Linked DNA regions of Arabidopsis thaliana. The protein of the gene in region 4 interacts with the protein of the main gene of each other region in a pairwise test. Each region holds a gene or a part of one and is shown on either strand. Other genes may lie near its edges.

Evidence for each region.
Region 1: the proteins of AT3G07500 (region 4) and AT1G48040 interact in a two-hybrid assay, tested with the Arabidopsis thaliana proteins (one large-scale study listed by BioGRID).
Region 2: the proteins of AT3G07500 (region 4) and AT2G24550 interact in a two-hybrid assay, tested with the Arabidopsis thaliana proteins (one large-scale study listed by BioGRID).
Region 3: the proteins of AT3G07500 (region 4) and AT3G55240 interact in a two-hybrid assay, tested with the Arabidopsis thaliana proteins (one large-scale study listed by BioGRID).

The regions. Positions count from the first base shown.
Region 1 is NC_003070.9:17,717,239-17,725,618, reverse strand, and holds AT1G48040 (Protein phosphatase 2C family protein), read left to right. Parts: upstream 1-3,727; 5' UTR 3,728-3,920; coding exon 3,921-4,091; intron 4,092-4,574; coding exon 4,575-5,555; 3' UTR 5,556-6,035; downstream 6,036-8,380. Other genes in the region: Ku80 family protein, read right to left, coding at 23-218, 317-603, 761-1,164, 1,239-1,370, 1,509-1,560, 1,639-1,731, 2,107-2,121; mtLPD1 (mitochondrial lipoamide dehydrogenase 1), read left to right, coding at 6,478-6,750, 6,937-8,187.
Region 2 is NC_003071.7:10,427,356-10,435,298, forward strand, and holds AT2G24550 (major centromere autoantigen B-like protein), read right to left. Parts: upstream 2,133-7,943; 5' UTR 1,697-2,132; coding exon 1,374-1,696; intron 1,120-1,373; coding exon 705-1,119; 3' UTR 501-704; downstream 1-500. Other genes in the region: AFR (Galactose oxidase/kelch repeat superfamily protein), read left to right, coding at 1-177; AT2G24560 (GDSL-like Lipase/Acylhydrolase family protein), read left to right, coding at 4,182-4,808, 5,015-5,273, 5,373-5,578. UniProt on the Arabidopsis thaliana protein: Probable transcription factor. Promotes slightly the tolerance to cadmium (Cd) and to oxidizing chemicals (e.g. diamide).
Region 3 is NC_003074.8:20,471,283-20,479,592, forward strand, and holds AT3G55240 (Plant protein 1589 of unknown function), read right to left. Parts: upstream 4,051-8,310; 5' UTR 3,424-4,050; coding exon 3,388-3,423; intron 3,265-3,387; coding exon 3,159-3,264; intron 2,740-3,158; coding exon 2,594-2,739; 3' UTR 2,053-2,593; downstream 1-2,052. Other genes in the region: AT3G55230 (Disease resistance-responsive (dirigent-like protein) family protein), read left to right, coding at 542-1,462; PDE329 (calcium homeostasis regulator), read left to right, coding at 8,020-8,310.
Region 4 is NC_003074.8:2,387,882-2,395,742, forward strand, and holds AT3G07500 (Far-red impaired responsive (FAR1) family protein), read left to right. Parts: upstream 1-4,334; 5' UTR 4,335-4,505; coding exon 4,506-4,506; intron 4,507-5,051; coding exon 5,052-5,503; intron 5,504-5,627; coding exon 5,628-5,828; 3' UTR 5,829-5,897; downstream 5,898-7,861. Other genes in the region: AT3G07470 (transmembrane protein, putative (Protein of unknown function, DUF538)), read right to left, coding at 7-462; AT3G07480 (2Fe-2S ferredoxin-like superfamily protein), read left to right, coding at 1,145-1,624; AGD11 (ARF-GAP domain 11), read left to right, coding at 3,308-3,769; AT3G07510 (maternal effect embryo arrest protein), read right to left, coding at 6,014-6,605, 6,687-6,694; GLR1.4 (glutamate receptor 1.4), read right to left, coding at 7,240-7,590, 7,677-7,861.

The DNA.
Region 1 (8,380 bases), on a different chromosome or scaffold from region 4:
GAAGATAACACTATTAACTTACAGTATCATCTCTTTCAGACACATTTGGAGTCAGGACCCCAACAACCACATTGCCTTGTCCATTTCTCCAGACACATCGTACAATTGCTACCTTGTTTGTTTCTTTCATTTCTCTTGCAATAGCAGATACGGCAAGTACAGATTTTTCTTTGCTTGGATCAGGAACAACTATATTCACGTCTTTCATGTAATAATGTCTTCATTGACATGCAGAGAAAAACACAAAACAGCATTCTCTCAAACTTTAACAACCAAGAGTTTACAGGCAAACATAGATATATGTCTTTATGTTTACCGCAGTATATTTGACGCCTCAGTAAATCCCAGAAGCTTCATGCCTTTGTCAGTTTTAAACTTGAGTGTTTCTATCTGATCTGGTGATATAGGAATAACCTGAGGTCCATAGCGAAAGCCCTTGATCCTTTCTTCTGGAGCAATAACCTCAGTAGATTCTGCAGTAACTTTGTAATCATAATCAACTTTTACTTCATGTTTGGCAAACTTGTCAGTTGGAGGCGCTTTGTCAGAATACATTTTTAGAGTGGGAAGTCTCTCCTCAGCCACTTTCTTATAAACCCACACCTACAAAATTTCACATTCTTATTTTCAGAAAAAATTTCACGAACAATTATATAAACGTGAATGAACTTAAGTACTGAATAACAACAAAGAACAGCAAGTTCGATGATATCTATAAACTCTGCACAACAAGCAAAAGACACAACCAAAAAAGCGTTACCTTAATCTTCATTGTTGGGTTAATTTCAAGGTCACCCCTGAACAAAGTAACTGGAGCCACCCTCCGGGTCTTTAAGGAACCAAGCAGTGAGAGTGGACTATCAACATTCACTGTTTTGGCAATCGCGTTGCTGGAGAATAAAGTCAACAGATGATCATTCTCCTCTATTACTCTCTCATGAGCATCACCACTTAAATTAGACCTCATAACAATGCTCTCCATCTTAATTCCCTCCGCAGCCATTTTCATAGCAATAGTGCTGACTTGATCATCTTTCGTCCCTTCAAATGGATCTTTGGTAGGACAAGCTGCGTTCGTGATGAGACACATCCGTTTTTTCCCCTTGTGTGCATTACCATACATCTTTATAAGCATATCCATCCCAACAATTAAAGCATCAAGAACTGAAGCCAGTTAAAGAACCAAGAAAATGGTAGCGAAACAGTAAAAATAAGCGGTAAACTAGCTAGCAGGATACAGTCTCCAGCTACAGTTCCTCGAGGAAGCTGCTTCACATGCTCTGCCGCTAATTCATCAACAACTCTGATATTCCTTAAAACTGTAACATTCTCATATCCACCTATCTCCCTAGCAAGCTCGTTTCCAGTTTCTGCAGAGGTCACATGAAACATTATTATCAAAGTACATCAACAAGCCGATAATACTCCAAGAAAGAACCATTGCAGTACTAAAGAGGATAGATTCCTAACTTCCTACTTTAATCAGTAATAAGAATAGATAGAGAGACCTTCAGTTCCAAAGACAACAATTCCAACTTCATCATACTTGTTGTAAATCAACTGCAACAACAAACCAAAACCAATAAGGAAAGATCCAAAATTCATGAACAATAATTTCAGAAGAAAAAGATCGTATACCTTCTTCTGAAGTAGCATTGAACATGCCTTTTCAACATCAGGGAGAACACTACGCATCGCAGGACCTACATCGAGCACCAAAACCAAACCCTCCTGCTTCCGATGAACACACACACACACATCGAATTAAAAGTAAAATCGAGCAGGACTAATTTCTCTCAAATGAAATGACAAATTAAAACCCTAAATTACTCCAAGAACAGTTCCAAAAATGAATCAATGAGATATCCAGAACATAATTGAGCATAAAACGAAGTCAAAATCAGCATAAACAGAATTATCAAAGAAGAAATGGTATGCAGCAATGTAGAATAACATGCACGAAACTAAGTAGAAAAAGAAACATCGATGGAAAACAAACAGAAGCTGAAGAAGGTATTAATTTCATTGAATTGATTTCTGAAGAAACCTATAAGAAAAAAAAACGAAGGTTAATATGTAACGAAGTAAGATTAGAAGAAATTATACCCGATTTCGTGCCATTGAGGAGTTGTGCTGGAAGAAGAAGGTGAAGAAGAAGAAGAAGAAGAAGAAGAAGAAGAAGAATGATGAGAAAAAGAGAGATGGTGAAACGAAGAAGACGAAGAATTTTTATTTTATTTTTTTGAAAATAGGCTGACTGACTCTAACGTGGCCTTAAAATGAGATAGGCCCATTGGGCTAAACTATCTAAGAAAAAGTCCATATGTCCAACTTCCAATATGGACTCTGTAGATTTAACAAAAATGGGTATTTTAATAAAGTATGTAATGAATCATATCTTATATAGTATATATCCCTCTGAATCTAAACATAACAATTAAATTTTACTTTTTATTTAAAGTTTAGAAATACAGTTACAAAAAATTATTTTCACTATATTAATTATTTTTCCATTTTAAAACCTCATAAACACATTATCATATTTTAATTTTTTTCAGTAGGCATCCTATATTTTTTTTAGTAGGATCCCAAACTTGAATTTTTCCATGTACCGATCGGTAGGCATCCTATATTAATTATGTCGCAAAGATGTGGTAAGACCCGACCTTGAGATCGTCGAGGATAAAGGGAGAACAAAGAGCATTTTGAGAAAGAAAGTCAACCCACATTTAGAAGAACGAACAAGATTCAATTATTCACAAAGGATATCAAATCATCAACTTCAGTGAAGTCACGCCCAATGCTCAAAATCATCAACCTCGCGTCACCACACACATATTTGTATACACTTGTCTTGTTTCTTAACCAAGAATACACGTATGTAATTTATTTCGCCGTCAAATAATGATTTTTCTTCAAAAATGCAAAACACATACAAATAGTTAAAAATGTTGTTGCGAACTTTCAACGTTAAAAAAAAACAGTTAGATTATATATTATATGTTTACTACTTTGTTTACTCATATTATTATTTAATTTGGTATAATTTCTGCATTTTAAAAACAATAGATATGTAACAACAATTAAATATTTTCTTTTTGTAAGATCAATTTCAATTTATTAAAACATCAAATAGTCTTATGTTTACCGTTTATATATGTTTCGGTTGGATTTTTAGAATCTTCTAAGCCATTGAATTTGTTCGTCATAGGCAGTTCGGTTGGAACTTTGAATTTCAGATATACAAAAAAAAATAGATTAAAAAAAAAAGAACTAAAATCACAAAAAATGTATAAGAACTTATTACATATTCTCAAATAAAACTGGACCTTTCCCTTTTTTTTTTGTGAGTCCCATATGGAAGTTGGGCTTAGAAAATTAAAAGTTGAAAAAAACTTTTTAATTTAAACTAAATATTTAAAAACAGTCTTTTTATAGTTTATATATGTTCCAGTTAGATTTTTGGAATCTTCTGAATCATTGAATTTGTAAGTAACATTTGCGGTTATGTGGGAAATATGTGAATTTAAATATACAAAAAAAAGTAGATAAGAAAACTAGAGATCACAAAGAATATATAAGAATCTATTACACTTTCTTGTCCAATATGGTATATGGAAGTTGGGCTTAAAAAATTAACTCTTTTTTAGTAAAATAAATATTTTTAAAACAGTATTTTAATACATTAAAATTTATAAATTATATTAAATATAGGCATGGGTCAATTAAGAAATATGCAAATAAACAACCAACACAGAAACCAAACCCTAATTCCCCATTCCCTGTCTTCTTTATTCTTTTAGGCGAATTTCAATTGCGTCCAAGCAAAGCACCACCTCTTACCCCGTTGATTTATTCGTCGATTTGCCTTTCGGTGAAATTCGCAATCGGATCTACTCCATTTGATTATTAACCAAGTCATGATTTTGAGTCAAACAATGGTTGCTGAAGCTGAGATCAGGGTTCTTGACGTTAAGTGCCATATCTCCGCTCCTAAAGATCAGAAGAATTTTCAGATCGACGAAGTTCGTGTTTCTGAGTCTGTCCGTGCTGAGATTTCGGGTTCCGCTGAAACGCCTCGATTCGGATCGGTATGTGTTTTTGGTTTCTTGTTCTAAAAATCGCTCATTTTTATTAATTGGGTTTCTTAGAAATTTCCCTTAGAAATTAGATCATGTGGATTCTTCTTTCTCGTAATTGAGTTTGTTGGTTTAGATTAGGAGTTATAATTTGATTTTGAGATTAGACCGTTGCTTGAAATTCTGATAATGATCCGATTCTGCATCAGGGCTTATATTAGTTTTGGGTTTCTTTTTGTTCTCTATTGCATAATAATGTTGAATCCTACATACCCTCTTCGATTAGGTTCGTGTAGACAATGGAAAATGATAAGATTAGTGTTGTGCTTTGGAAAGTTTATACCTTTGCATGAAGAATTAGTTTAGGTGTTCATGAATCAATTTTACATTGTTAGCGGAACGACTCTGATGCTCTGTTCTGGCTGTTCTGTTTCTTTAATTGTGCCAAGTTCAGGAATCTTAAACAAACCTTCTTATGTACATTTGTTGTAACAGGGCATGAGTTGTGTAACTACTACCATTGGAGAATCCGCCAGTGACTTTATCCCAACTATACGTTCAGGGAGCTTTGCTGACATTCGAAGTCGAGAAACCATGGAGGATGAACACATTTGCATAGATGATTTGTCAGCTCACCTTGGATCCTACAACTTCTCGGTACCAAGTGCTTTTTATGGTGTGTTTGATGGTCATGGTGGGCCTGAGGCAGCAATTTTCATGAAGGAGAACTTGACTAGATTGTTTTTCCAAGATGCTGTGTTTCCAGAGATGCCCTCCATTGTGGACGCGTTTTTCTTAGAAGAACTGGAGAATTCTCACCGAAAGGCTTTTGCTTTGGCTGATCTTGCCATGGCTGATGAAACCATTGTCAGTGGTTCATGCGGGACAACCGCTTTGACCGCTCTCATAATCGGACGACATCTTCTTGTTGCTAATGCTGGAGATTGTCGTGCAGTGCTATGTAGGAGAGGAGTGGCTGTTGATATGTCTTTCGATCACAGATCAACATATGAGCCAGAAAGAAGGCGGATTGAAGATTTAGGAGGATACTTTGAGGATGGATACCTCAACGGAGTCCTAGCTGTCACGCGTGCCATTGGAGATTGGGAACTGAAGAATCCTTTCACTGACTCCTCTTCACCACTGATTTCAGACCCAGAGATTGGACAGATCATTCTAACAGAGGACGACGAGTTCTTGATTTTGGCATGTGATGGTATATGGGATGTGTTGTCAAGCCAGAATGCAGTGAGTAATGTAAGGCAAGGATTGAGGAGGCATGGTGACCCGAGACAATGTGCGATGGAACTAGGAAAAGAAGCAGCGAGGCTTCAGTCATCAGATAATATGACGGTTATAGTGATCTGCTTCTCCTCAGTTCCGTCTTCACCTAAACAACCGCAAAGAAGAAGATTAAGATTCTGTGTTTCTGACGAAGCCCGAGCTCGGTTACAAGCAATGCTTGCAGGCGAGTGAAAGCAGTGTTTTTGGCAGTATGTACAAACAACAGGGATCGGGTGTTACCGATCAAACCATTATTTCTCTAATTTGAGATTCGATTCGATGAGATAAAATAAGAGACGTAGAGAGTGATAGAGAGTTAAGGTCTTGTTTGTAATGTGGTTTCTCATTTTTGATTGATCTGTTTTTTTGGTTTGTTTCAGAGAGAGATAGAGAGAAAAACCAGCCTGAAGTTTTGGTAGGATTATTGAAACTGATTAAGAGGATTTCATTTTTGTTCTTGAGGATTAGTGATGTTGTACCCATTATTGATTGTTTTAAGGAATTTTAATTTTAACTATTTTGAATCTAGATTTTGGAGGTTGGTTTAAGAATCTCTCTCCCATATATGTGGAATTCAGAGAGTTTCTTTCTGACTGTGAAAGGTTTTGGAGGTTTATCTCAAAAGCCTCAAATCCTGTCCTTACTTGCTTCTCATCATCTCTATCTTTATCTCTTTATCTTCTTCTCCTCCAACAATCTTCATGTCCATATATTTCTGATGAGTATATTTTTTGATAATTTTTACAATACAGTATTTTTCATTACATATACATAAATATTTTTTGGTGTATTTCTTTACATATGAATTAGAAGTCTAGAACTTATAAAAGTAATTCAAATGTTGACAAGAAAATAATAATAAATCAAGTGTGCATTAAGGTAACTTTGTAATCAATTTCAAATATTTAGTGTACATAATTGAGATTAGAAATTCAAGTATTCATTCATATAAATGATTTATTTACTTATCTATATTTTTGGTCAATTAAGGAAATATTAAAATATTTGTGATTAAAAAGAGAAAAAGGGTTCTAAGAGAGCCTCTCCTCTTTACATTTGCCGGCTCTGTTCATCTCTACAAGGAGCCAAGTCTCTCTTTCTCTCTAAAACAACAATGGCGATGGCGAGTTTAGCTAGGAGGAAGGCGTATTTTCTCACCAGAAACTTATCAAACTCTCCCACTGACGCTCTCAGATTCTCCTTTTCCCTCTCCCGTGGCTTCGCCTCATCAGGATCTGATGAAAACGACGTCGTCATCATCGGCGGCGGTCCCGGTGGTTACGTAGCCGCGATCAAAGCCTCTCAGCTTGGTCTCAAAACCACTTGTATCGAGAAACGCGGCGCTCTCGGTGGTACTTGTCTCAACGTCGGTTGCATTCCTTCCAAGGTCAAATTTCGAATCATCTCTCGTTTCTTCAATCAATTTGTTGATCATAGTTGACGATTTTGATCTGTTCCTTTTGTGGATGATTCTTTTGAGAGTTAATTACTGTCTTTTGTGATGATTATCATTTGCTTAAGCACAGTTATTCCATAATTACTAAATTCTTGGTTGTGTTTATTGATGTATTAGGCTCTGCTTCACTCTTCACATATGTACCATGAGGCGAAGCATTCCTTCGCTAACCATGGTATTAAGGTCTCTTCTGTTGAGGTAGATCTTCCTGCTATGTTGGCTCAGAAAGATAATGCGGTTAAGAACCTCACTCGTGGTATTGAGGGTTTGTTCAAGAAAAATAAGGTGACTTATGTCAAAGGATATGGTAAGTTTATTTCCCCAAATGAAGTCTCGGTGGAGACTATTGATGGAGGAAACACTATTGTGAAAGGTAAACATATCATTGTTGCTACTGGCTCGGATGTTAAGTCCTTGCCTGGTATTACGATTGATGAAAAGAAGATTGTTTCGTCGACTGGAGCGTTGTCTCTATCGGAAGTTCCGAAGAAATTGATTGTTATTGGTGCGGGGTATATTGGGCTTGAGATGGGTTCTGTTTGGGGTAGGCTTGGATCTGAGGTTACGGTTGTTGAGTTTGCTGGAGATATTGTTCCTTCGATGGATGGTGAAATTCGTAAGCAGTTTCAACGTTCTCTTGAGAAGCAGAAGATGAAGTTCATGCTCAAGACTAAAGTTGTTTCTGTGGATTCCTCCTCTGATGGTGTGAAGCTTACAGTGGAACCGGCAGAAGGAGGAGAGCAGTCTATTCTGGAAGCTGATGTGGTACTTGTCTCAGCGGGAAGAACACCGTTCACTTCTGGACTTGATCTGGAGAAAATCGGAGTGGAAACTGACAAAGCCGGGAGGATTCTGGTGAATGATAGATTCTTGAGTAATGTCCCAGGCGTGTATGCTATTGGAGATGTGATTCCAGGACCAATGCTTGCTCACAAAGCCGAAGAAGACGGTGTTGCTTGTGTGGAGTTCATAGCAGGCAAACACGGTCATGTTGATTATGACAAGGTTCCTGGTGTTGTTTACACTCATCCTGAGGTTGCTTCGGTTGGTAAAACCGAAGAACAGCTGAAGAAAGAAGGTGTGAGTTACCGGGTTGGGAAATTCCCGTTTATGGCGAATAGCAGAGCTAAGGCTATTGATAATGCAGAAGGATTGGTTAAGATTCTGGCCGATAAGGAGACTGATAAGATCTTGGGCGTTCACATTATGGCGCCAAACGCTGGAGAGCTGATTCATGAGGCTGTTCTTGCGATTAACTACGATGCATCAAGTGAAGACATTGCTCGAGTCTGCCATGCTCATCCCACTATGAGCGAGGCTCTTAAGGAAGCTGCCATGGCCACCTATGACAAGCCTATTCACATCTAAAAGGGAACAAGGTATGTCACACTTTGGTCTGATTTGGTTTTGTTCGGTTTTGGTTTAGATTTTTGATTTGCGGTTTTGATTTCTTATGTATCTAATCACATCCCACACTAGGAAGACCTTAAAGGAGTGAGCCACCTATGACAAGCCAAATCGATATCTTAACCTGGTTGGATTTTGGTTCGGTTTTCTGTGG
Region 2 (7,943 bases), on a different chromosome or scaffold from region 4:
TTCGCCGTGACGGGAGCTGATGATCGTGTGTTTGTGGTGGCCAGTGGGATTAACGTAGCGGAAGGGAGAGTGAGTGAAGGGCAAAATGGGGATTTTAGTGTTGAGTGGAGGATGGTTTCGTCTCCTAAAAGTTCTATTCAGTTTTCACCTGCTAGTTGTCATGTGCTATATGTTTGATGTGTAATTGTTGTTAGTTTTGAATTTGTAAACTCTTTTCACTAAAACCCTTTTCACTGGCTAAATCTAACCAACCAATTACTTTTCCTTTTTGTCGGCAACCAACCAGATCATTGGACTGTAGTTTCGATAATAATTTAAAAAAGGGTAAAATATACGTTTAAATAGTTGGCACAACATCACTCTTTGCGTATGTAAAAATTTGAGAGGACCCAATCTTTTTCTTGACAACCTAACTTATCCTCTTATACAGTTCATAATGTAATAATTGTATATTAATATTCTTAAAAGTTAAAACTAAAGGTTATCCACACCAAAAAAGAAGAAGAATTGTGTCTTTTGGGATTAGGAAAAGTCTTAAGGCTGCTACTAATGAATAGATTAATAATGATTATTCCTAACAAATCAAATCTTCCACCATTTGTTATCACTGAAATTTCCTCTAAACTCTCCCTTTAATAAAACAAATTCACAAGAGAAGAACAAATTAAAAACAAGTATTAAAAGAAACAATGTTACTTGATTGATCATTCATCTTCATCATCATCACCATCACCATCATCTTCCTCTTGCAAACTACTTAGACAGAAACAACTTCGAGTCTGAGCCATCAACTCTTTTTTATTTTTCATCATCATCATAATCTTCCTATGATCATCACCATCACCATCATCATCCTCATAATCATCATTGTGAATGTGATGATCCTCTTCATTAGGTTCTTGGAGTGCAAGTAAAGGCATTGAATTAGGGTTTTGCCACGAGTAAAAATTCGAAGCTGACATAGATCTTCCTCTCCTCCTTAACTTATTAGCAATAACCAATCTCCTCCTCTTGTTAAATGGATTCTCAACTTTCTCCAAATCCTTCGCCTTACTCGCTGCTTCCATTAAATTACCAAACGATTTCGATTTCCCGACATAATGATTCGATAATCCTCTCCTGAAAATTAACAAAAACAAAACAAACATCAGTATTCAGACCAAACAAAACCAAGAACTAACTTGAACTATAACAAAATCCCAAATCATAAATTTTAACTTAAGGGTTTCAAGATTTAACCAAAACCATAACACTCAGATTCGCAGATGAGACTTGCCAAGAAAAGTATAAAGATCAAATTTTCAGATCAAGAACATAGTAAAAGACAATTATAGATACATTCATGAGTCAAACCAAACCAAACCCAAACTTACTTAATAGGAAGAGAGTCTTCAAGAGAAGAACTAAACGAATCAAGTGTTCCTCGTTGGCACGAAACGGCGTCGTCTTCTTCTTCTTCCTCCTCGTTTTCACTGCTTTCTCCGATAGACGACGAACTATCCGAAGATTCCTCCGGCGACTTATTATTATTATTACTCATCCTTAATCCAATCCCGATCTGTGATCCACCACGTCCTGATTCATCAGCCAAGAACAGAGCCGTTTGAACAGCCTTATCCTGCGCCGAAACACCGCGATGATCTCTAACGTACGCCGCCATGCCGATTCCAAACGACGAACCAACCATAACCTCCATATAAACTTTTCCGATTAAGATCTCTTTCTCTAGCCTGTGAATATACCCGAAAGACTCAGATGATCATAAATCGCCGGCGATGTGCGTAGGTGAAGAGCTTTAACCAGCGCAGGTTAATGATATAGGAAGAGAGATATACAAAAGAAGGTGAAATGCAAAACAACACTGAACGAGAAAAATGGAATAAATTCTCATTTACATTTATAACGACAATATCGTATAAAAATACGATTACGTATTGAATACGAATATTTATACGTATTTATGAGTCTGGAAACACATGTTCCTAAATATAGAATAGTCCTAGGCACGCTAACGGCGACTTTGACGGTATAGACACGGTCTTGCTGACGTGGAGAGTTTTCATTGGTTTAAGTTTGGACTTTTGCCGGACGTTTCGGGTTACTGTCTCCGTTTAATCCGATGTATGTCGTTGTACCGAAAGTTCGGTGGTCACTATCACACCATATCTCAACCTTATCCATTTATATTTTGATTTTGTTTCTTTAAATGTTTTAAGATGTTTTAGAAATATGTGGAAAAAGGGAAAAAAATCTTGATTAGTTATATCAATTCAATTGGATGGATAATATTTGGTATGCAAAATTAAGATGCTGATTTTTTTCTGTTAATAAGTCAAAAGATTACAAAAATATTCGTGTATGATTTACTTTATGTTTTTAAATGGAAATTAATATATTTAAAAATATATAATTAGTACTATCTGAATGATTAGTTTAGTACAAGTGGACAAATTAAACCTTATCTCGTTTACTTTTAGTACAATTAAAACCAATATCGTTAATGATACAAAAAAATCTATATTATAATGAAAATTTGCTAATGCTGGATTAGTGCGGAAGCAAGAACTTTGACTCGTTCAAAATGCGAATATTGGTTTATTTTATACTTTAATTAGCAAATTACTTTGCTGAGTCATGAATGTTTAAAATGTAAAATGAATCCAAAATCATCTATTTTACAATATCATATACATGAGATCAAATTATTGTATGATCCAATCCTAAGATTTTAAATGTTGGTTTTTATACAGTTCAAAGCAATTAGGTTTTGTTATAATCATGAGTTGATATAGATCAAATAACATAATATATGGAGGGATATCATTAGACCAATTAGATAAATCTAACCTTATCTCTTTAACTGATAATCTTGTTTATGAAATGTGGCTAACTTAAGTCTATTAATTGTGTCTAAAGGGTATCTTCCTGTTTAGCTTTACCTCTGGCATTTTATTTTAGAAAATTCAATGGTGGACTATGAAACATTTTTTAAGATATTACTTTTTTGTCATCCTGTTATTAAATTAATTATCAAAATCTGTTAAGCTCTTAATGTTAATGTATTTCCTCTTGTTTATAATTACGTTGTTAGACTTTAGATCTTGACGATGATACTGAAAAGAATTGGTAGTTTGACTTGTATAAATCGAATATGTGAACTAGCTGTGTTGTTGTTTGCTAGTGACTTGATGAATGATTGCCGCATTTTTTTTTAATTGAACATGTTAGTTGTGTGTATACTTGTGTCGTGTGTATATTTGTCCGCATTTATATAATCGAGTTGATAGACACAAAATTACTTCCAACACTCGTATAACCTATATAGCCAGTTTAAACTTTTGAGTCTTAAGTATATAAGTTTCAACCCATCAAATAAATAGATGGGTTATATTCTCCCATAAGAAATCTCGAACCCAAATTTATTTGAGTTGGGTTGAGTCAACCAGTTCAATTAATCTAATGGATAACATTTTGCATGTATTTATGGCCCCATAATATAGAAATAGATCTGGAAGCCCAAGCCCAACCTTCTCCCACTTATACTCAGAGCCGACATTTGGTGTCGGCAACGCCAATATATTATTGGAGAAGTTGAAGGAAGACTCATGTTGTGTGGCTTCAGAGAGTGATGCCAAAAATACGAGAACTAGACAGACCCGTGAGTGATATCAATTGTTTTACTCTTCGACACAGACAAATGGGAAACACGCTTACCATCATATATTCATATACCTTTTACTCAAATGAAATGTGAAACCTGATCTCCAAGACTCCATTTTTCAGCAACTTCTGGGGCCAAGTTTTTGTATCAGACGCATCCCAATATGATAAGTTTCACTTCCCAAGTATTTGGTCTTTTCTAGCATATATATTGGATTTATCTAAAGAAAACTATACACTAAAAATGGTTAGCAAAAAATAACACTTTGCTTTAAGTATTAACTTAGGTCCTCTTTTAAAACCTTGCTTAGGTAACCATATTCTCTATTCAGTCGTTAAAATCTTTATTAATACTATAACCCGGCTTTTGTTTTTATTTTTCAGCAAAAAAAAACACAAACACACACACACATTTAATCAGAAATCCAGCAAGGTCCAACAAGAAGAAAAAACACAATCAAAATTCCTTATAAATTAATCAAAACACTAGCTAGACAGTAGACACAATACAAATCAAACTAATGTCGACTTCTAAGACCATAACCTTCACTCTCTTCATAGCAGCACTACTCTCGTCCTGCGACGCAGCCACAAACGCTACATCGCAACCACTATTTCCAGCGATTCTTATCTTTGGCGATTCAACAGTTGACACAGGTAACAACAACTACCACTCACAAACAATCTTCAAAGCCAAACATCTTCCTTACGGAATCGATCTCCCAAACCACAAAGCTAGTGGAAGATTTACAAATGGCAAAATCTTTTCCGACATAATCGCAACAAAACTCAACATCAAACAGTTTGTTCCTCCCTTCTTACAACCAAATCTCTCTGACCAAGAGATTGTAACCGGAGTCTGTTTTGCATCAGCCGGTGCGGGTTACGATGACCATACCAGTCTCTCTACGCAAGCGATTCGTGTCTTGGACCAACAAAAGATGTTCAAGAATTACATTGCTCGTCTTAAAAGTATCGTAGGAGACAAGAAAGCTATGGAAATCATAAAAAATGCTTTGGTGGTTATAAGTGCAGGGCCTAACGATTTTATCTTGAACTATTACGATATTCCTTCAAGGCGTCTTGAGTTTCCTCACATTTCTGGTTACCAAGACTTTGTTCTTCAAAGGCTTGACAATTTCGTGCGGGTAATGTTTTCAAATATTTGCTCGATTTACCTCTACAACAAAACCTTTTTCTGCAATAAAATTTTAAAAAACTACATTTTAATAACTTAGTTAGAATAGTCTATAATGCATTATTCGACACACATTTAGGAATGAAGTTTTTAGGGCTTAGTGGATAGGGTTTAGGGTTCCCACTCGTCTTGTTAATCTTTCTAGTGTGTGTGCAGGAGCTTTACAGTTTAGGTTGCCGGAAAATTATGGTAGGAGGTTTACCGCCGATGGGTTGTTTACCGATTCAAATGACTGCTAAATTCCGAAACGCTCTAAGGTTCTGCTTGGAACAAGAGAACCGAGACTCTGTCTTATACAATCAGAAACTTCAGAATCTATTACCTCAAATCGAAGCATCGCTTACAGGAAGCAAGATCCTTTACTCCAATGTCTATGACCCTATGATGGACATGATGCAAAACCCTAGCAAATACGGTATAGATGATACAATCTCTTTCTTGTTTGGCAAGGTATCCTATGAGATAAATATTGACCAGTGATTATATATGTTCATTGATGTGGAAACTAAAACAGGATTTAAAGAGACGAAGAGAGGATGTTGTGGAACAGGGCATTTGGAGACGAGCTTCATGTGTAATGCTTTTTCTCCAACGTGTAGAAATCACTCGGAGTTTTTGTTCTTTGACTCGATTCATCCATCCGAAGCTACTTATAATTATATGGGCAATTTTCTAGATACTCAGATCCGCGTGTGGCTTAGCTTGAGGCTTAAGTCATAATTATATTGGCAATTTTCTGGATCTCAAGTACTATACTAAATCAGTTCGCTTTCACTTGTTGACAAAACGAAAGAAAATATTAGTTAATTAAGTTAAATTTTTTTTTAAAACCCCTCGTATAGATCAAATAAAATAAGTTATGTATTAGGTTAAAGAGAAAAAAAAAAAAAAAGGAAGCAACAACTAAATTTTTTTTAGTTATTCTCGATTCTACGACAAAATTGTGAGTCCGTCGTGTTCATATATTCGTAGTAGCTGTTCCTCATCCATATTATCATAGCACTTGAAAAAAGAATAGAGCAAGGACATTAGGAGCCACAAGGCAAAGGGTATTCCAAAACATAGAGTGGATAAGCGAGAAATAGAATGAAGAAGGAGAAGAGTATCGTAAAGCCAAAGATATGACGTATAGGTCCTAGAAAATTAGTTTTCAAGAATTTGACACGGTCATCTTCTGAAGGAGCGTATACGGCTATGTAGATCCACACAACCTAATCGGCAATACATGTGATGACGTAGAGAGGCCAGAGATATATGAAAGGCTCGCCATCTAGAGCGACGTCGATATTGTTATCTCTTATGTACCAAAACGATGCAAGACCGGTTCCCATAATGAAAAAGTTAATGTACAAATCGTAATATATGATCTTGTTAAACAATTATAGATCGTTAAAGTCATAATAATAATAATAATGATAATAAAAAAAATCATCGATTGTATGTATCGACTCACCACCAAATAGAACACCGAGACTCAACGGTAATAAAACAATATTGGTGCTCAGAAAATTTGTTGTCGGCCATAGTTATACACATATACACATAGAATCCAATTCCCTGTCTAATTGGGTTTTCGAAAATTTATCTTTTTGTTTTTATTGTTTTTTGTTTTGGTTAAAGGTTAAAATGTTATAGAGAATTTCAGTTTCCTATTAGAAATATGTAATACAAATAGACTTCTCAAATAATCATATGTATAATGATTTTTTTTTCCTTCTTTTAAGATGTTCTTATCATAAAAAAAAAAAACAAATTGCATTTAAAAAAAAATACTCAATTAACTCCTTTTAAGTTTATATTTATTAGCTTTAATTTAAAAACAAAAAAAATATATATAAAGCATGATCATAACGAAATAATACAACATACGAATATATAATAGAGATTGGATGAATAAAATTAAAAATATTGAGAATTTACATATGTTTTACTTATAATTCATTTTCTATTTTGCTTATATTTTATGTACTTTTTGCTTTAAAAACAATATGAGCAAACTTTATATTTTAATAATTCTAGAACAACTATAAAATATTAACAGAGTTATAAAATAAATAAGTTATCATAATGCATTTGCATTATAAACCTACACTACATTTGGTATTATATTTTTGACAAAAAATGTAATTTATCTTTATTAGGAAATAAACTTGGTCTTGCTTTGCTTTTTCTAGGTGGAACATATAAAAAAATATTAGAAAATAAAATTAGAGAAAATCTTACATAAAAATAATCAAATAAAAAAGTTACAATCAACTTTTTTAAGAAAACAAGTAACCTATTTGGGTACTCATTTAATTCTATATAATAAATTAATACTATAACAATATGTAATCATTTTCTCTCCCTATTTGTTTCTCACTCTCTTTGTTTTCCTCAACACAATGGCTTTGACATTTGACGGCGTCGAAAAGAGATTCGAGATCACCTTCTCAGCCTCGACATCCAACGAAAATATACGCCACGAGAAATGTGTTGGACCAGATTCTGAAACCCGTCGGCGGTTTCGATCGATGTGGTGGCTCCATCGCTGTTGCCTTCTATACGGTGGCTGCGTCATAGTGATTGTGAGGTGGTGGCTCTGATGCTTTGCTTCGCAATGTCTAAATCAACTTATCCAGTAGACCACGTCCATAAATACTTAAAAGACTATGATTTTTCACTATCAACCATCTAAACATATCGACGACATAGATGAATATAGACAATGTTATTTAAAAATTTAGAGTGTAAGGTTTTAGATTTAACTATAGCAACAAACTTAACGCATGACTGGCAAACAATTGTTAAATAAGAAATGGATTAGGTTGATGGATGCTTATATATGAATAAAGTGGTAAATTTCCCAACTGGGTTCGACGCCCGTTGAGAAGAATCCGTTTTCCAAATATGATGAATTTAATAATTTGTTGTGGATCCCGCCTCTAGAAGATGTAAGACCTTCTTGCTTGAACTTTCAGATATTAAAAAAAAAAATGCTATGCTAATTATTATGACGCTAACACCATTTCCAAGAATTCATTTCAAAATACTTAATCCTACCTTCTAAACTCAAACTGATTTATAATTTGGTTTAAATGAATAA
Region 3 (8,310 bases), about 18 Mb from region 4:
CCGATTATCATTTTTCATTAACAAAAATTGATTACAAGAAATTGAACTTTTTTTTTTGGTGGAAACAAGAAATTGAACTTAATATAAAGATAAACTATAGAATGACAACATTTTCTCTCATTAAATTTGTGAAGTCACAAAAATAGAGTGGTATTGCATAATTATGTGATTGGTTAATATTGCAAATATAATTATGTTACTTATGTATGAAATTAACATGGCTAATTAAGATCTCTCTTCCATTTAATTTCTTAACATGATTTATTCTAATTTCTAACGAATAGATAGAAAGAAACAAAAATAGGTCAAAGAAATCAAGAAGGCTAGAAGAAGCAAGAGGAGTAAGTAGCAAATTAAAATGAATAAAACCTAGAGGTTTAGTTAAATCCATTAATCAACTAGAGTATGAGAATGCAACGACAATAACAACAACAACAACTCCACTCCATGATCTCATCATCCTCCGCGCTTCCTATATAAACAAACCCATTAGCCTTAGAAAATAAACACAAACCTAAAACCAAAACAAAAAGAAAGAACAATGGCCAAAGCTCTTAGCCTTACAATCTTTCTCTTTCTCTTGATAGCTTCCAATGTCCAATCCGCTCGACTTCTCGATGAGGTTCAAACTCAGCCACAATTAGTCCCCCAGGTACCGGAAGAGGAAGATGATAGTCCACAAGCCGTAACAACAACTCCAACACCAATTCCTCTCCCAGGACCCGCCACGGGAGGACCCGAGCCAATCCTAGAGTTCTTTATGCATGACGTGCTAGGCGGGTCACACCCATCAGCACGTGTGGTTACAGGGATAGTAGCACAAACAGAGGTGAATGGAATACCGTTTTCTAAATCCAGCAACAACATTTTCCCAGTAGATAACGCAGTGCCGCTTGTGAACGCAAACAGCATCAACAACTTAATCAATCCAAACACAGCTCCACTCCTAACAGGACTTAGTGGCTCTCAAGCCAACACCGTAATCCAAAACAGTAACGGTAACTCTCAAGGATCCCTTAGCTCCAACAACCTTCCCTTTGTAACCACGGGTCAGCTCCCTCCCATAGCTGCCCTCCAACAGCTTATGTTTGGCTCTATCACCGTGGTTGACGATGAGCTCACCGAGGGCCATGAGTTGGGCTCTGCGATCATTGGGAGAGCCCAAGGGTTTTATCTCGCTAGCTCTTTGGATGGAACTAGCCAGACCCTTTCGTTGACAGTGTTACTCCACGAAGATCATGATCATCATGACACCCTTGATGATGCCATCAGCTTCTTTGGGGTTCACCGAACCGCTTCTCATGCGTCGCATATCGCTGTTGTGGGTGGAACTGGGAGATTCGAGCATGCTAAAGGGTATGCTGTCGTGGAGACTCTACACAACCAGGAAGACCAACATGTTACTGATGGTCATGATACCATTCTCCATTTCAGTGTTTATCTTACATACTACAAAGCTTGAAGAGTTATGGCATTTGTTGAAAGAAAATTCCTCTGTTTCGTTTGTATGTTCTTCTTTATAAGTTTAATGTGTGGTCTATATTGTGTTGTGCACGTTTACTGTACTGAAAAAAAGAAAGTTAAATGACAATCTTTGTCTTTAATTCTTTATATTCAAAACTCTCTGTTTTTTGGCAAATACATACCTTTTGCATTTCAACCGGTCTATTTATTCGTTTGTATATACTATATACTCTCGAAATTCCATTTTTATATCAAGTTAACGTAAGAATAAATCCTTTTTATAATTTTTTGTTTACTTACCAACAAAAAGAAAGAATTATTACATAGGAGCCATGTAGTCTAGATTTACGTGGGCTGGAAATTGAAACGTGTTACTACTCTTGTGAGTAGTCACTCACTTAACAACGCATGTTAAGTGAGAGTTTTCTTATGAACTTTGACCCAAAAAGACATTTCTGCACAAGGTATAACAAATTAACAACGTTCAAGTTATGGGCTGATCATAGGATCGGACACATTTTGACCACTTAATCGCAAATTAATTGGATATTGTTCAAGAACTTTTTCTCCATGTTATTGTTTTTGTTTAATTAATGTAAATTTTCAATTTGAAGAAATTTCTATTAAAAACAAAAATGGCTGCATAGACGTTCCCCAAAAAAAAAACAGCCGATCATGGACCAAAAAACAGCTGATCAACGTTTTTACTGATCTGGCTAAAATCTGGACTTTTGGGTTCCGAAACTTGCAAGCATATGGAAACCATGATACAAAATTTCCAAGAGTGCTAAAGCCTTTTAAGGTGACCAAAACCCGAAATAAATAGTTTATTTGAAAATATATACACACGATACATTCAATTAAAACACCACACCATCGATCCATGTATGAGCTAGCGTCCGTTTCATTATATATAATTAAACAGAGGCAATATTATGTGGACCACGTACGTATAACGTACCAAAAAGAGTGTCATCACTCCTTTTTTTGCTGTCTTGCTTGTTGGACCGATGCTAAGATGAAAAAACGATTTACTTATAAACATGCATGCGTCAGGGATAAATCGTTTTCATGAGATTCATATATATAAACTATAAGGTTTTCGAAATCTAACGATCGAACATCGCGATCAGTCGTCGGATTCTTTAGATGAATCCGAGATAATCTTCTGGATCATCTGGTTTGTCTCTTCCTCCGACATTTGCTCTTGTTTGCTTTGCCTCTCCTCATACGCCTTGAAGAATTCCTTGTTCTCTTTCTCCAGCTCCTTCCACACTGTCATTTATTTTGTTCCAATTCATTAATATTATGATAACAAAATATATAGGCCGGATATATATGTTGCAAGGATTTTTATATTTTCTTTGGCTTTTTTTGTATATGTATAAGTTCTAGTCGCCAGGTAGTCAAGTCAGTGTATATAATCATTAATTTGATTATGCATGAGCACTTATATGAATAGAAATATTGAAGATCGATCCATCACGCTAGATCCTATCTGTAGCTAATTAAGTACATATTACATGATCAAATTCTAAATGATGGTATCATAATATGATGATAGCTCCATAATTTATACATATAATTAATCCCGTTAGAGAGTACATAGGTACAGATATGTTTGTGTGTTTATAAGGATTACGGAAAGGTAAAAAGTATTAAAAAAGAGGAGAGAGAGAGAGAGGAATTAAAACCAGTAGAGGTGATGACAGGAGTGATGTTTGCATGCTTAGAGAGAGCTTCCACACACTCTTCTTTGCTCATATGGAAGATCAAACATTTCTCTATCATGTGCTGCACCTATACATACATACACACATCCAAAGATATTGAGGTACATACGTAAAAGATAAATAGATAAGATCATTCATAGAATCGACGGCCGGAGAAGTACATGAGGTTCTTGAATCAATATAATATTACCATGTGAATGTAAGAAGCAGAAGAAGAATCTGCCATTGTTAATGGAAACCCTAGAATTAACACCCAAACTTAAAAGAGAGTCTTCTTTCTAAAAGCCACTTGTGGAGATAAAGACAGCCATATATAGAAGAAGATCACGCAAAAAGATGAAGAAGGAGACAAAAGAGTGAATAGTTGAAAGATGATATGCATGCATGGGGCCAGAAGCCCCACGTGGGAGATTGATCATAATTGGCTGAGAAAGGATTAGAGGAGATTTGTAAAATCACTCTTTCTCTCTTCTCCCTTCGTTTTTTCATTTCCATCTCACGCATCCTCCACGTGATCCATGGCCCCTCTCTCTCTATACATTTTCTGCAAAAAAACACTTAGTCGTGTTTTAATTTCCATAATCTTCTAGAAATTAAATCTATACCTATTTGTTAATGTTTTAACTTATATAAGAAAATGAAAGTTAGTTGTATTGGCTCTAAGAGCACATGATTACATAAAAGGAGAGTAAACGATAAATTCGGAATTTTAAAGGATTGATACTTTAAAAAATGGCAAATAAAATAATGACTTCAACAATTGTAACTCACCGAATTCCTTTTGAAACAATATAAAACCATAGTGCGAAATATACAAGGCATATAATCATAAGTCTTAACACTTATGTTAAGGCTTACCATTAATAAAGAAAAGATAACTGTTGTAACAAACATATCAAATGTATATCTACGATGACTACCGTTGTGTGACCATCGATTTGACAATTGAAATATCATAAGAAGACGTATTAGAGGCCTAGGTCGCCCCTGAACATCGGTACGTCTACTCTTAAGGTGAGGCAAGAGAGGCATGAACTTGTTTTCCTTTTTCTTTTTCTTTTTGTTAAAGGAATGTTGAACTTGTTTAAATAGGGAATACCATGCATATAAAATATATAACTGGTAAGTTGATTGATAAGAACATTTGAAATCACTTGAGCACTTTAAGAAAAGGAGAAGTGAAGAAATATGCGGATGAGATCCAAACGTGGTTTGCATCGAGCAACATTAAGGATAGAAAATCTTTGTAATTTGTTTTTTAAAAAGTTTGCATTTTGCATTCACATGTATAAATGTTTCTTTTTTCTTTGAATATAATCTAGATTCAAAAAAGTTATAATATATATATATATATATATATATATATATATATATTGTAACTACATATTATGAGTATGAGATAATCCATATACATTAGTAAACCTCTGTCGTAAAAAGAACCAACGTAATTTACACGACATGTTATAGATAAATGTTTGCTACTGAATTTTTCAGTTCTGTCATATATGTATGAGCCTCCTCCTAATTAAGTCCTAACTCTTAACCATGCATACCAACATGTTTATTAATATTAAGACCGGTAAAAGAAACCCAGAAATTATCATGTACTTGTTAATGTAGCATAAAAGACAAAATCCCACTCCATCTCATAAATGATAATATTGATATGGATTAGTGGAACCTATTACATCTAATAAACATTACATCTGACGTAAGTTACACAGTTGATTTTGTTTTTTTATAATTAGTTTTTTGAAGTTACGCTATTGAAATTTCTGTCTAATGATTAACTTAGTTCTTTTTCTTCTGAAATTTTTGTTATTTATGAATGACACAAACCCCCGAAAAAGTTGATTACACCAACCAAATGTCGTCGATCTCTTCCAGATAATATTCATAATTTAATCATCTACGTAATTGACTCCTCAAAGTATTAATTTGGGTATAGTCGTACCACCATGACAAGTGTAGTATACGTTACAATAATGGACGGCCAAAAAAAAGGCAAAGTGATCATCAATAGTTTTTTGGTTGGGTAAGGGGACGCGGGAGATTAAAGTTTTTGATTCTAAACCAATAGGACGATGACATGTCACGTATAACAATCCACATTGAGATCAAATAATCGCAAATGGTACAACCATCTGAGTGACGTGGCGCAAATGGACATGAGAGAGAGTGAGAGAATCTACAAAGGTTACGTAAAGAAGTGAGAGACAAACACATTGTGGGTGTTTTGTCGAAATCAAAGGTTTCAGAAGGATCCATCAAATTCAGACATTAAATAAAACTACACATATTCCTCATCATGTGGACCTCTCAATTTGAGTCCTGAAACAGCAACTATTCCCTCGAATCAAATTCAAACCCTATTCATGATCACTTTCTCTCTCATTCCCTCTCCTCGTCAACAAGATTACAAACCAAGACGCCTATTCTCTCTCATCCACTTATTTCTTTTACCTAAGATACTTCCTTATCCAGCTCTTAAGATCATGCTATCAAAGTTCATTCGAATCCGTATGAGTGATTATGTAGTTATAATGAGCGTATATTTCATTTATAAGGAATTTGAAAACGGTTTATGTGTTACAAGAAAATAGTGTATGTATTGTAACGAGTAACGTATATATTACATAAAAATTACTACGGAGTTTACTCTATTTTCTTCTGTCTGTTCATTGTTCTATTTTCTCTGTGTTCATACTTATATTCTTTTGGCTTAGAGATAATCATATACGTATAGTATACCGGATTTTACTTCTAAAGCGCATTCAGTTAAATATGAACTTTCAGTTTTTAACTTTTCTACCAAATAAATTAAGGCACATCATAACTACTTTCCATGGTTATTATGCTTGGTATCTTGTGGTCGTGGAAGCTGAGTCTTACATGACTTCATATAGTTATTTTCTTTCTTTTTTCTAAATCAGCTATTAGATACTGGTGTAATTTATGGTTATTCTCTTGCAACTATATTCATAATTTAGCAAAGAGACTATATATTATTCATGGATCACATTTTGTCCAAATTGACAAAGCCATCAAGAATTATTGATTACCCTACCCATATTGAATGTCTATCGTTCGATTTTTCTCAAGAATGAAACTTTGGTGGGGTTTCTGATTAATACTAGTAAGTCATTAAGAGGTTCGAAATAATATCACAGAAGACGAGACAGCAGAAAGACGAGACAGTGCAAAAAGAGACAAAGGTGGTGCAGTAGACTCACTATTATTATTGCCTTAACTCAATTTTCAAACCAAAAGCTCTCAGAAAGCAAACCCACATTTGTCCCATGGACAAGTGGAGATTCTATTGACCACACCCACTCCACTTGATTTTTCCTATTCTCTAAAGCCAAATTGCTCCAAAAAAAAATCTTTAAATTTTTGGGTTAAAGTGTACGATGTGATTGAATTTCTGTTATCCAATGAGATCATGCCGTGTCAGCATAACGGAATATGTTTGTTGTATTTTTTCCTTTGAGCCAAAACAAGTGATCAGAGACGTAATGATATTATAGGGGCATCTAGCTACGTATTGGATTATGAATACTTTAGGTGTCTTGATTTTTTCTGTCTAATAAATCTAAGCTAGTTGGTTGGCCCAATTAGATCACGATTGGAATCGAAAGTTTCGTTTCGATTACTTTGTATCAAGTATCAACCGATTAAATGATATTTATTGCTCAAGTTAGCAAATACTCAAATGTTTTACTAAACGCTCGAGTTTGGTTGAAAGCACAAAAAAAAACAAAAAACTCACCATGTTGTACAATACACAAATTGTTCAAGCTACGAAACAAAACTACAACTTTATCCGGGTCCATTCATAGAGTGGATCCAAACTTTAGGTTATAATTCGATATTTGGACAATTTAGGAAAGCCTTATACTATTTTGAAGATCTTGGTCTGCCTCAACTTAGGATTCCTTATTTCTCTGTATATATTTTTTTTCATATCAAGATTAGACATTGTGAACAAGTATAAACTGTCCGTGGACAACAATATTTGGACGTTTCAATTTCAACGCTTCTCAATGCTGCAAATATTGAAGTATCAAACGTCCGTTGTTCAATAACGATGATATTATTATTATCATTCAAGTCTTCAAATGTTTTGCCGTGTGTTACATAGAATATGATGAATTTAGCTAATACAATGTATCTGTTTTTTTTGGACAAATACAATGTATCTTATCCTCGACATTTTCGTGCTTATGCACACACACGGTTAATACATACTACTTTTGTGTGGCATTCGGTTTCTTAAATAATCAAATACTAGATGTATTTTTCTAAGAAAAATCAAACTATTTCTTAAATATGTATAAATTTTTGGCTATATATAATATAAGATACAAATATGAAATATCGCTTGCCGCCACAAAAGAAAAAATATCACCAAATTTTTGGCTATCCTTCTTCTTTTCACGATATCGTTAAAAGTGGGCTTTACAAAATTGTCATAGGCCTATAAGTAAGCCCAGTATGAGTATTTCGCTTCTTCTTTTTTCCTTTTCCTTTCAGATCTGCTAGCATTATCCAGTATTTGTTCTTGTCTGAAATTCTGATTAATTTGCTAACAAAGACTTATAAATAATGATTTTGACTTAGGATCTTCACGGTTAATTTTCTAATCAACAAAAATAACCAGGTAAATTAAGAAAAATTACATATGAAATTAGTCACTCACTAGTAAACTAAAAATTATGGAAGAATTAAAAAAACATAATAAAATATAGAATGGAGAAGATAACGTATATAAAGATGAGATTCATCCAAACAGCATAAAGAGAAGCTTCCATATATCACAGCCATGGTGGTTGTCACTCACATCTCCACTTCCTTCCACCAAATCTCTCCTTCCTTCTTCCATCTCCGTCTTCGTAATCCCTCCACCACTTCTTCGTCTCGTCCCAAACTCGACGGTGGTTTCGCTTTGTCAATTCGAGCTTACATAGAGAAACCAAACTCTTTCTCCACCTTCGCTAACAAAGTCATCGGTTCTCTTCCCGTTATCGGACTCCTCGCTCGAATTATCAGCGATGAAGGCGGCGTTGGTAGAGATCTCGTCGATTTCGCTGAGTTTAGGAAACGAGTTGGGAAT
Region 4 (7,861 bases):
GCATACCTTGTGAATCCCACGAACCGGAACGCAATCTCTCGGAGTCTCGAACAAAGACAAAGAATATTGCTTTCGAACAACACCAACGTCGAAGTATATAAGACCAGAACTCGGCACGTCGACTCGGATTCCTTTAACCGGAAACCACAAGAATAGCTCTTGCGCCGAGATTCCAGACAAATCAGAGATTTGAGCAGAACCTATAGTCCCCGTAATATTGGCGTCGTAATGTATCTCAGTCTCGTATTTAGCCTCGCATGCCTGATTCAAATAAACCGAGAATCGTCCCGTTTCGACGTCGAAGGTGAATTCTCTGACACCTTTCGGGAATATCCCCGAAGGTAATCCGTTTGCCAGGAGGATCTCGTATATAGTCTCAGTCTCTGATATCGCCGTGGAGATCGAGATCCCGGCGACGAGAACGAGACATAGAAACGCGATTTGAACAATACGAAGCATCATCGGCTTATTCTTCCCGAATTCACGGTTTGTGATTTTGACAGATCTCTCTCTGCTCGTTTATCAGGAAATTGAATTAATGGGTTTAAGGGAAGACGAAGAAGGAGAAGAAGAAGAAGACGACATTCTGGTGACAGCTTGAAACAGAGTGGATCAAAATTTTATCAAATTATTGAAGGCGGAATTTGGAATGGAGCAGTAATCTTGTGCTTCTCATTCCATAGATGGAACAGACCAATGAACGATAGCCACGTCGGATGTGTGTCCACCAAGCAGTATTTAGTTAAATGTGGCTTGTTTCGTTAAGCCTTTGGTTCTAACTTCCTAAATTTCTTACGCGTTATTGGAAAAAGTAGGTGGACCGTATCACATGGGAACAGAGTGGATCTGGCCGGACTTGCGGCTATTCGAATGTTTATAGATTTTTTTCTGTCTTAAATGCCTCATAAAATACATAGAAGCAATGTTTTCTTCAACCCAAACTAAACCAAACAAAATATTTGGATTAATATTGACCGGTTCGATTGAACGGTCCAGTTAGAAATTTGGGCTTGTAAGTATGTAACTTATCTTTGGGCTTATAAAGAAGCCCATCTCCAAATTAGCGTTTCACCCTCACTCACTTTTCCGGTTTCAACCATTAGCACAAAAAATCTGAGCTCCGACCAAAAATTGGGGAACGACGATGGCGACGACTCTTCAGAAACTCTCCTCTCAAATCCACCGACTCTCTCCATTCACCAGATCTCTAATCGTTCGCACATCCGCAACGTCTGCTCCTTCTCCGTCTCTGGGATCGAAGAAAGTCTCTGACCGAATCGTCAAGCTTTCTGCGATCGATCCCGATGGATACAAGCAGGACATCATTGGACTCTCTGGCCAGACTCTCCTTCGTGCGCTCACTCACACTGGTCTGATAGATCCAGCATCGCATAGATTGGATGACATCGAGGCTTGCTCAGCGGAGTGCGAGGTTCAGATCGCAGAGGAATGGCTCGAGAAGCTCCCGCCGCGTACTTACGATGAGGAGTATGTGCTGAAGCGTAGCTCTAGATCCCGTATCTTGAACAAGCACTCGCGTCTTGGTTGCCAAGTTGTGTTAACGCAGGAGCTTCAAGGTATGGTCGTCGCTGTCCCTGAAGCTAAGCCTTGGGATATTCCGTAAGTTTTTGTTCTTGAGGATCTCATAAATGTTGGGTTCGTTCTCAATTTGGCTAATAAAATTCGCTTTGGAAATTTCGGTACTCTGAAGATAACTCCATTTGAATCTGTAATTTTCGTTTGCTTACATTTAAATTTTGTAATGTGGTAAAGAACTCTGCTTGTTTAAACGATTCCCTGCTTCAAGTATGGGTGAATGTTGTTTTCTTGATTTCATTTTCGTTGCTTCTTCTTCCATTAGATTGGTTAGAGACTATGGTGTTATATCTAGAGATTGGTAAAAGCAATTGGAAAATGCTAGGAGGTTATTGAACACATTGTGTTGAATTGTGGTTACCTGGTGTTGATATCTGTTGGTCTCGAGCTCAATTTGCCAACAGCTTTAAGCATAGAGAAAGAGAGTATATAGAATGATGTGACTTCTTAGTACTGGAATGAGATTCTTTTTACAGACCATATAGTAATCTTCCCGGTTTCGGTATGCTTAGGATTAATAGGCCATCCTTTATATTCTCGGGTCTAATTGTCTAAGGAGGTGTTTCCGTTGAGTTAGAAGAATTAGTGGAGTTTTGATCTTTCATTCTCATAACCACTGCATCTTTGGTGAGGCTGAGATAACATTAAATATACTCTGAGCATTGTAATCACAGTTTCTGCTTTTAGGGAAAGGGAATAAGGTAGAATGGATCTGGCATCTTATACCAATGGTTTAGTAGATTTGATTTGAGCCTTGTAAACAGAAACTCTGTTTGTAGGATCGATTCTTGTTCAGGGTTTGATTCAGTAACAAAACATATTGAGTATACTGTTTAGATATTATTTTCCTACCAGTAGTTTCTAAACACAGCTTAGGCATCTTTAAATGTTGCGAATAGTTTTCTAATTCTTACTCGTTTTTCAAAATCCGAAACCAAAGCAAACTGAAAAATGGATGCTCATCTCTATCTACCTGAAAACGTCGATATCAAAATCAATTTCTGCTTGTGGTGCACTTAACACAATAATCATTACTCTCAGTCTTATAAGGATGTGCAATACAACATAATTTAAACCTGTTAACAGACTATCAATCTGTTAAGAAGTGATTAAGACCTTGACTATTTTAAAGGCTATCTCTTTTATTTTAATTTTATTATTGTTCAAGTTGTCTCTTCTATTTTCGAAACATCGCCATGTTCAAATCGACAAAAAAAGAAGTGTATAGAACAAATCCACTTAGAATAAGTTACATCTTATGTAGATAAAATAAATAAATAAGTTTTGTAGAAAATTAACCAAACATATACAAACAGACGATAAGCATTTGAATTGAATTATATTTGTCTATACCATAAATTGAGTCTCAAAAGATTTAACCTGAAATAACTATCCTAACGGAAAACTGTTTTGAAGATGACAAAATACGAGATAATGTGTAGATTCCGTGTGTATCTCTATTGATAGACTTTAGTTTTTGTGTATTCTTGAAGGACATAAACCTATTTTAAGACCAGTTCAACAGAAAACTGGTGCAGACCACGATCACAGTTGTAATGAGTTTTCTAAAATGGTAACCACTCCTTTTCCTTTAAGAAGCAGTCCTTCTTGTCTCCTGCCCTAATTCTCTTCTTCTCTATAAACCCATATTCTAGTTTTGTTCTCATTCATTCTCTGTTCAAAGCTCATAAATAATAAACTCCAATTAAGAATGGATCAAGCGGAGCTTGCCAGGATCTTCCAAATGTTCGACAGGAACGGTGATGGCAAAATCACGAAGCAAGAGCTGAATGATTCATTGGAGAATCTAGGAATCTACATTCCAGACAAAGACTTGGTGCAGATGATCGAGAAGATTGATCTCAACGGTGATGGGTACGTGGACATCGAAGAGTTTGGAGGGTTGTACCAGACGATAATGGAGGAAAGAGACGAGGAGGAAGACATGAGAGAGGCTTTCAACGTGTTTGATCAGAACCGGGACGGGTTCATCACGGTGGAAGAGCTAAGGTCTGTGTTAGCTTCCTTGGGGCTCAAACAAGGAAGAACCCTAGAGGATTGCAAGAGGATGATAAGCAAAGTTGACGTTGATGGAGATGGCATGGTGAATTTCAAAGAGTTTAAACAAATGATGAAAGGTGGTGGATTTGCCGCCTTAGGATCAAACTTGTAAAAAAAAAACTCATTTTTCGGGTTCGGGTTTGAGACCCAAAATCATTGGGTATTTTTTTCTTCGGAATGATTATTAGGGCAAAACCTTGAAAGCGATGATGAATGGATTTGCAAAAGAAAAAAGCTCAACAAACTTTGTGAGCTTTGTTTTGAATGCTCCTACAAAAATGTTGTTGATGAATTTGCTTTTCGGATTTTGAAACATAACCATGCGAATCTACGGGAACACTTGATGATTCTTTTATTATTTATATATTTGGGTGTTGCACTTAAAAAGTTATCACTATCTAGCTTATAATCATAAAATGATGAAAATATATTTGTATTTGTAAATTACAAAGATTAAACACAAACAAACAATCGAATTTCTACCCAAAAAAACAAACAAACAATCGAATTTATGTCTTTAAAGTGAAGATTTAGGTCAAAGTAATGGAAAAAAGTGTCTCATGGAATATGTTAGTCAGGCGGTCAAAGTAAAAAGTAAAAAGAGAAAAAACTATAAACTACATGATGTTTAACTCTTCAAGTGACGTCAAGACATAAACTACGTGCCGTTTCGCACTATTCGTAATCCAACGGGCGAGACTGGAATGAATTTATGACCAGATCTTGGTTTTTTCTTGTCGTCTTCTTCACCGCTTACCAGTTACTAACTTGAGCTTCAGAGATCATCATCATCATCACTTCCTCTCTCTGAAGAAAACACAATTTGGAGTTTTCTAATCTTCATTCCAAGTGAGTACTTCAATCGAATCCCTTTTCTACTATTCAATAATTCAATCTATTATTCAAATTCTCGTCTATCTGTTTCGATGATTTTGAGGTTTTCGCTCCCTTTTGTTATCAAATTATGGAATCTGATTCCCAATTTCGCGTTTGTATGTACTCGATTTTCTCTTTTTTCTTGCATGATTACACTTTGGTGAAGTTCAGAATTCGAGTAATATCACTTGAAATTGCTACTCTCTGCCTATTCATTAGGGTTTATGAATACATAGTTTAGGGTTTATGTTTCCATTAGTCACTTCTTGAGGACCTGCTTATCTTCGAGCCATTGTGTATTTGATAAACTTTGGAAGAAGTGTCCACTATATCTAGCGTAGGACTGAATGTAGTAGATTAGAACTGCTAAGAGTTGGTTAGAGAAAGGGGTGGGTAATTTATAAGGATTTTCTAGGGTTTGGTTAGGTATTCGGTAGAGAGTTTCTGGTTTGGTGAACAAGACATAGCTTTGCATCATTTGTTTTGAGTTGAGATGTTTGTGTGTTGTGTTGTGGCAGTGGAAGGGAACTCTTTACCCGAAGAAGATGTAGAGATGATGGAGAATTCAGATGTAATGAAGACAGTCACAGATGAAGCTTCTCCAATGGTGGAGCCGTTCATTGGTATGGAGTTTGAATCAGAAGAGGCTGCAAAGTCTTTCTATGACAATTACGCTACATGCATGGGTTTCGTTATGCGAGTGGATGCTTTCAGGAGGTCAATGCGAGATGGGACTGTGGTGTGGCGCAGACTCGTGTGTAATAAAGAAGGATTTCGTAGGTCGAGACCTCGGAGAAGCGAGAGTAGAAAGCCTCGGGCTATAACAAGAGAAGGGTGTAAAGCTCTGATTGTTGTGAAAAGAGAGAAATCCGGAACATGGCTTGTTACTAAATTTGAGAAAGAGCATAATCATCCTCTCTTGCCTCTCTCCCCTAATGTTCGCCGGAATTTTCAGCTCCCTCAAACACCGGTACGTCTACGCACTTTTCCTTGGGGTAAAAGTAAAACAGTGATTATTGGCATTGATCTAAGAGTTACCAAGAACATAAAGCTCAAAAAATGATATCGAAATCTTGTACAAATGAACTTTTCAGGACGAGAAAGACGCAAAGATTAGGGAGCTGAGTGCAGAGCTGAGCCGAGAGAGAAGGCGTTGTACTGCTTTGCAACAGCAGCTTGATATGGTCCTTAAGGAGATGGAAGAACATTCCAACCATCTCACCATTAACATCAATAGTGTTATCCAAAGTGTTAGAGACATTGAGTCCAATACTTTCACCAAACAACAAACATAATGCTTCATTTCTGTTCATAAAAGCTTAACATCAAATTCTCATAATCCAATGTTCTGTATCTTGTGATTGATTCTTCATTCTCCGAAACAAAAAAACAAAAAACTAGATTGGAAGGCATTGATGATGAAATTACACATTGGCTAATCAAAACAAAGCCATGGACATTATCCAATTTTGACATAGCATCAATGCCAGAAAGCGTAAATGGCGGTAGAGATGTAAATCAGCAGAGCAGAGGAAACCAGAGTGACGAGCGTTGCAACAGCTTGAGCCGCCGATTTGCTGCCGCAAGAGAGCAAACCAAGACGGATCTGAATCACATTAACCATAGAGAGCATCAAGAAGAGACAGCCCATTACAGATCCGACAGCAGAAGCCATCATTCCCCATCTCAAAACCTTGATATTGATGTGAGCTCTGAAAATCTCGTTGACGTCTTTGCTATTAAGAAGGTTTAAGGCAAGCTTAAGACCCTGAGCTACAAGAGAGGAGAAGAGGAAGAAGCTGAAGGAGACGACTTCGAAGACCAGTAGCTTCTTGGCGACGTCAGCACTTGCGTCGCAGCTGGATCGTTGTTCGAGGCTGTGTTGTCCTGGAGTCGCTAAGGAAAGACCAACGAAGACGGCGATGGTGAAGAGAGAGTTCACGTTCACGAGTCCGTCGAGAGCGCTTACGTGGACACTTGTGGTGGCGAGGGAGGATGTTGAAGACGCCTCTGGTGACGTCATTCTCACGCCGTTCTCAGCGCCGGTCATGTAGTTAACCTTCGGCTCAGATCTGCTCGGAAAGGGAAAAAAAGAAACGCAATGGTTAAAAAAAAGATAGATTGATTTTAGGGAAGAGAGAGGGTTTGCTTACTCATACATGAGGGAATCTATTTAAGCAATGAGTTTAGCTTTCCGTCGGGGCTTAGCTTGAAGAAAGAGATGGATTGTCTTAAAGAGAGAGCTTGTCGGAAACACTCTCTCTCTCCCTATCTTTGTACAAACCAGCTTCTTTGAGGCATTTCTTTTCCACGTCACATTAAGTTGTTGACTTTTTCCGATTTTTCTTCTCTTTTTGAATTTTGTTTTTCTGTATGCAGTCAAATGTTAATGGATTTTTGGGTGAATTTAAAAGATTTTTTTTAATGATTTACTATTAGCAACACTTCATAAATAATTTGAATGCATTTTTCAAATCACTAATAAGATTTTCTCTTAAAATTAATGATTAACTTGAGATTTTTCAATCTAATAAGACAAATCATATAGGATACATTCCCTTTTAAGTACCCAATTCGAAGGTTAAAGATAAAAAATTGTCTCAAGCTATGGATGGGATTGACACATATAAGCATATAACGATGTACAAAAGGAGAAGAAATATGAGAATTGCATTTCTGAGGTAAGTGATAAGAAGATGTCAGGCTTCAGATGACTGAATTCTCATTTTGCCTGTTTGGTGTGGTGGGAGAAGGACGAATTTCTCTTGCAAATCGATGACTAACATAACGGTGGAAATGTTTAAGCACAACTTGCCTTTGTTCTCGGTTCCAGGGGATTAGATAGACGATGAGAGCAAACGCAAAAGAAACTCCTGTGATCATAAACAAACCGCGAAATGTGTATACAGTGAGAGGATGGAACGTATCCTCGCTTGTGGCTGACGTCGTTTGTCTCTGGAACCACCAATTCTCTATGGCTTTTAGCTTCTCTGTTCTCCTTAGCTTTTCGATTTCTCTTGACACCTTTTGAACCAAAGGAGAACCTTTCTGGAAAGCCTGAGAGAGAGAGATGGATTAAGTCAAATAAGTGTGCATACCAATAATGTAATAATAGACGAAAGTTTTGGGGGTAAAAGCTTTACAAATCCAAAGCCGTTGGTTACGCTTTCGGTTTCGACAATGACGAATTCTGAAGGGTGCTTTGCAACAAAGAGCTTTACATATGGAACTTCATCGACGATAAACGAGATAGTTCCATTCCTTAAAGCATTTGTAAAATCGTCAGCTGTCTTTAATCCCTTGTATCTCGGTCCTTGGAACGTAGGAT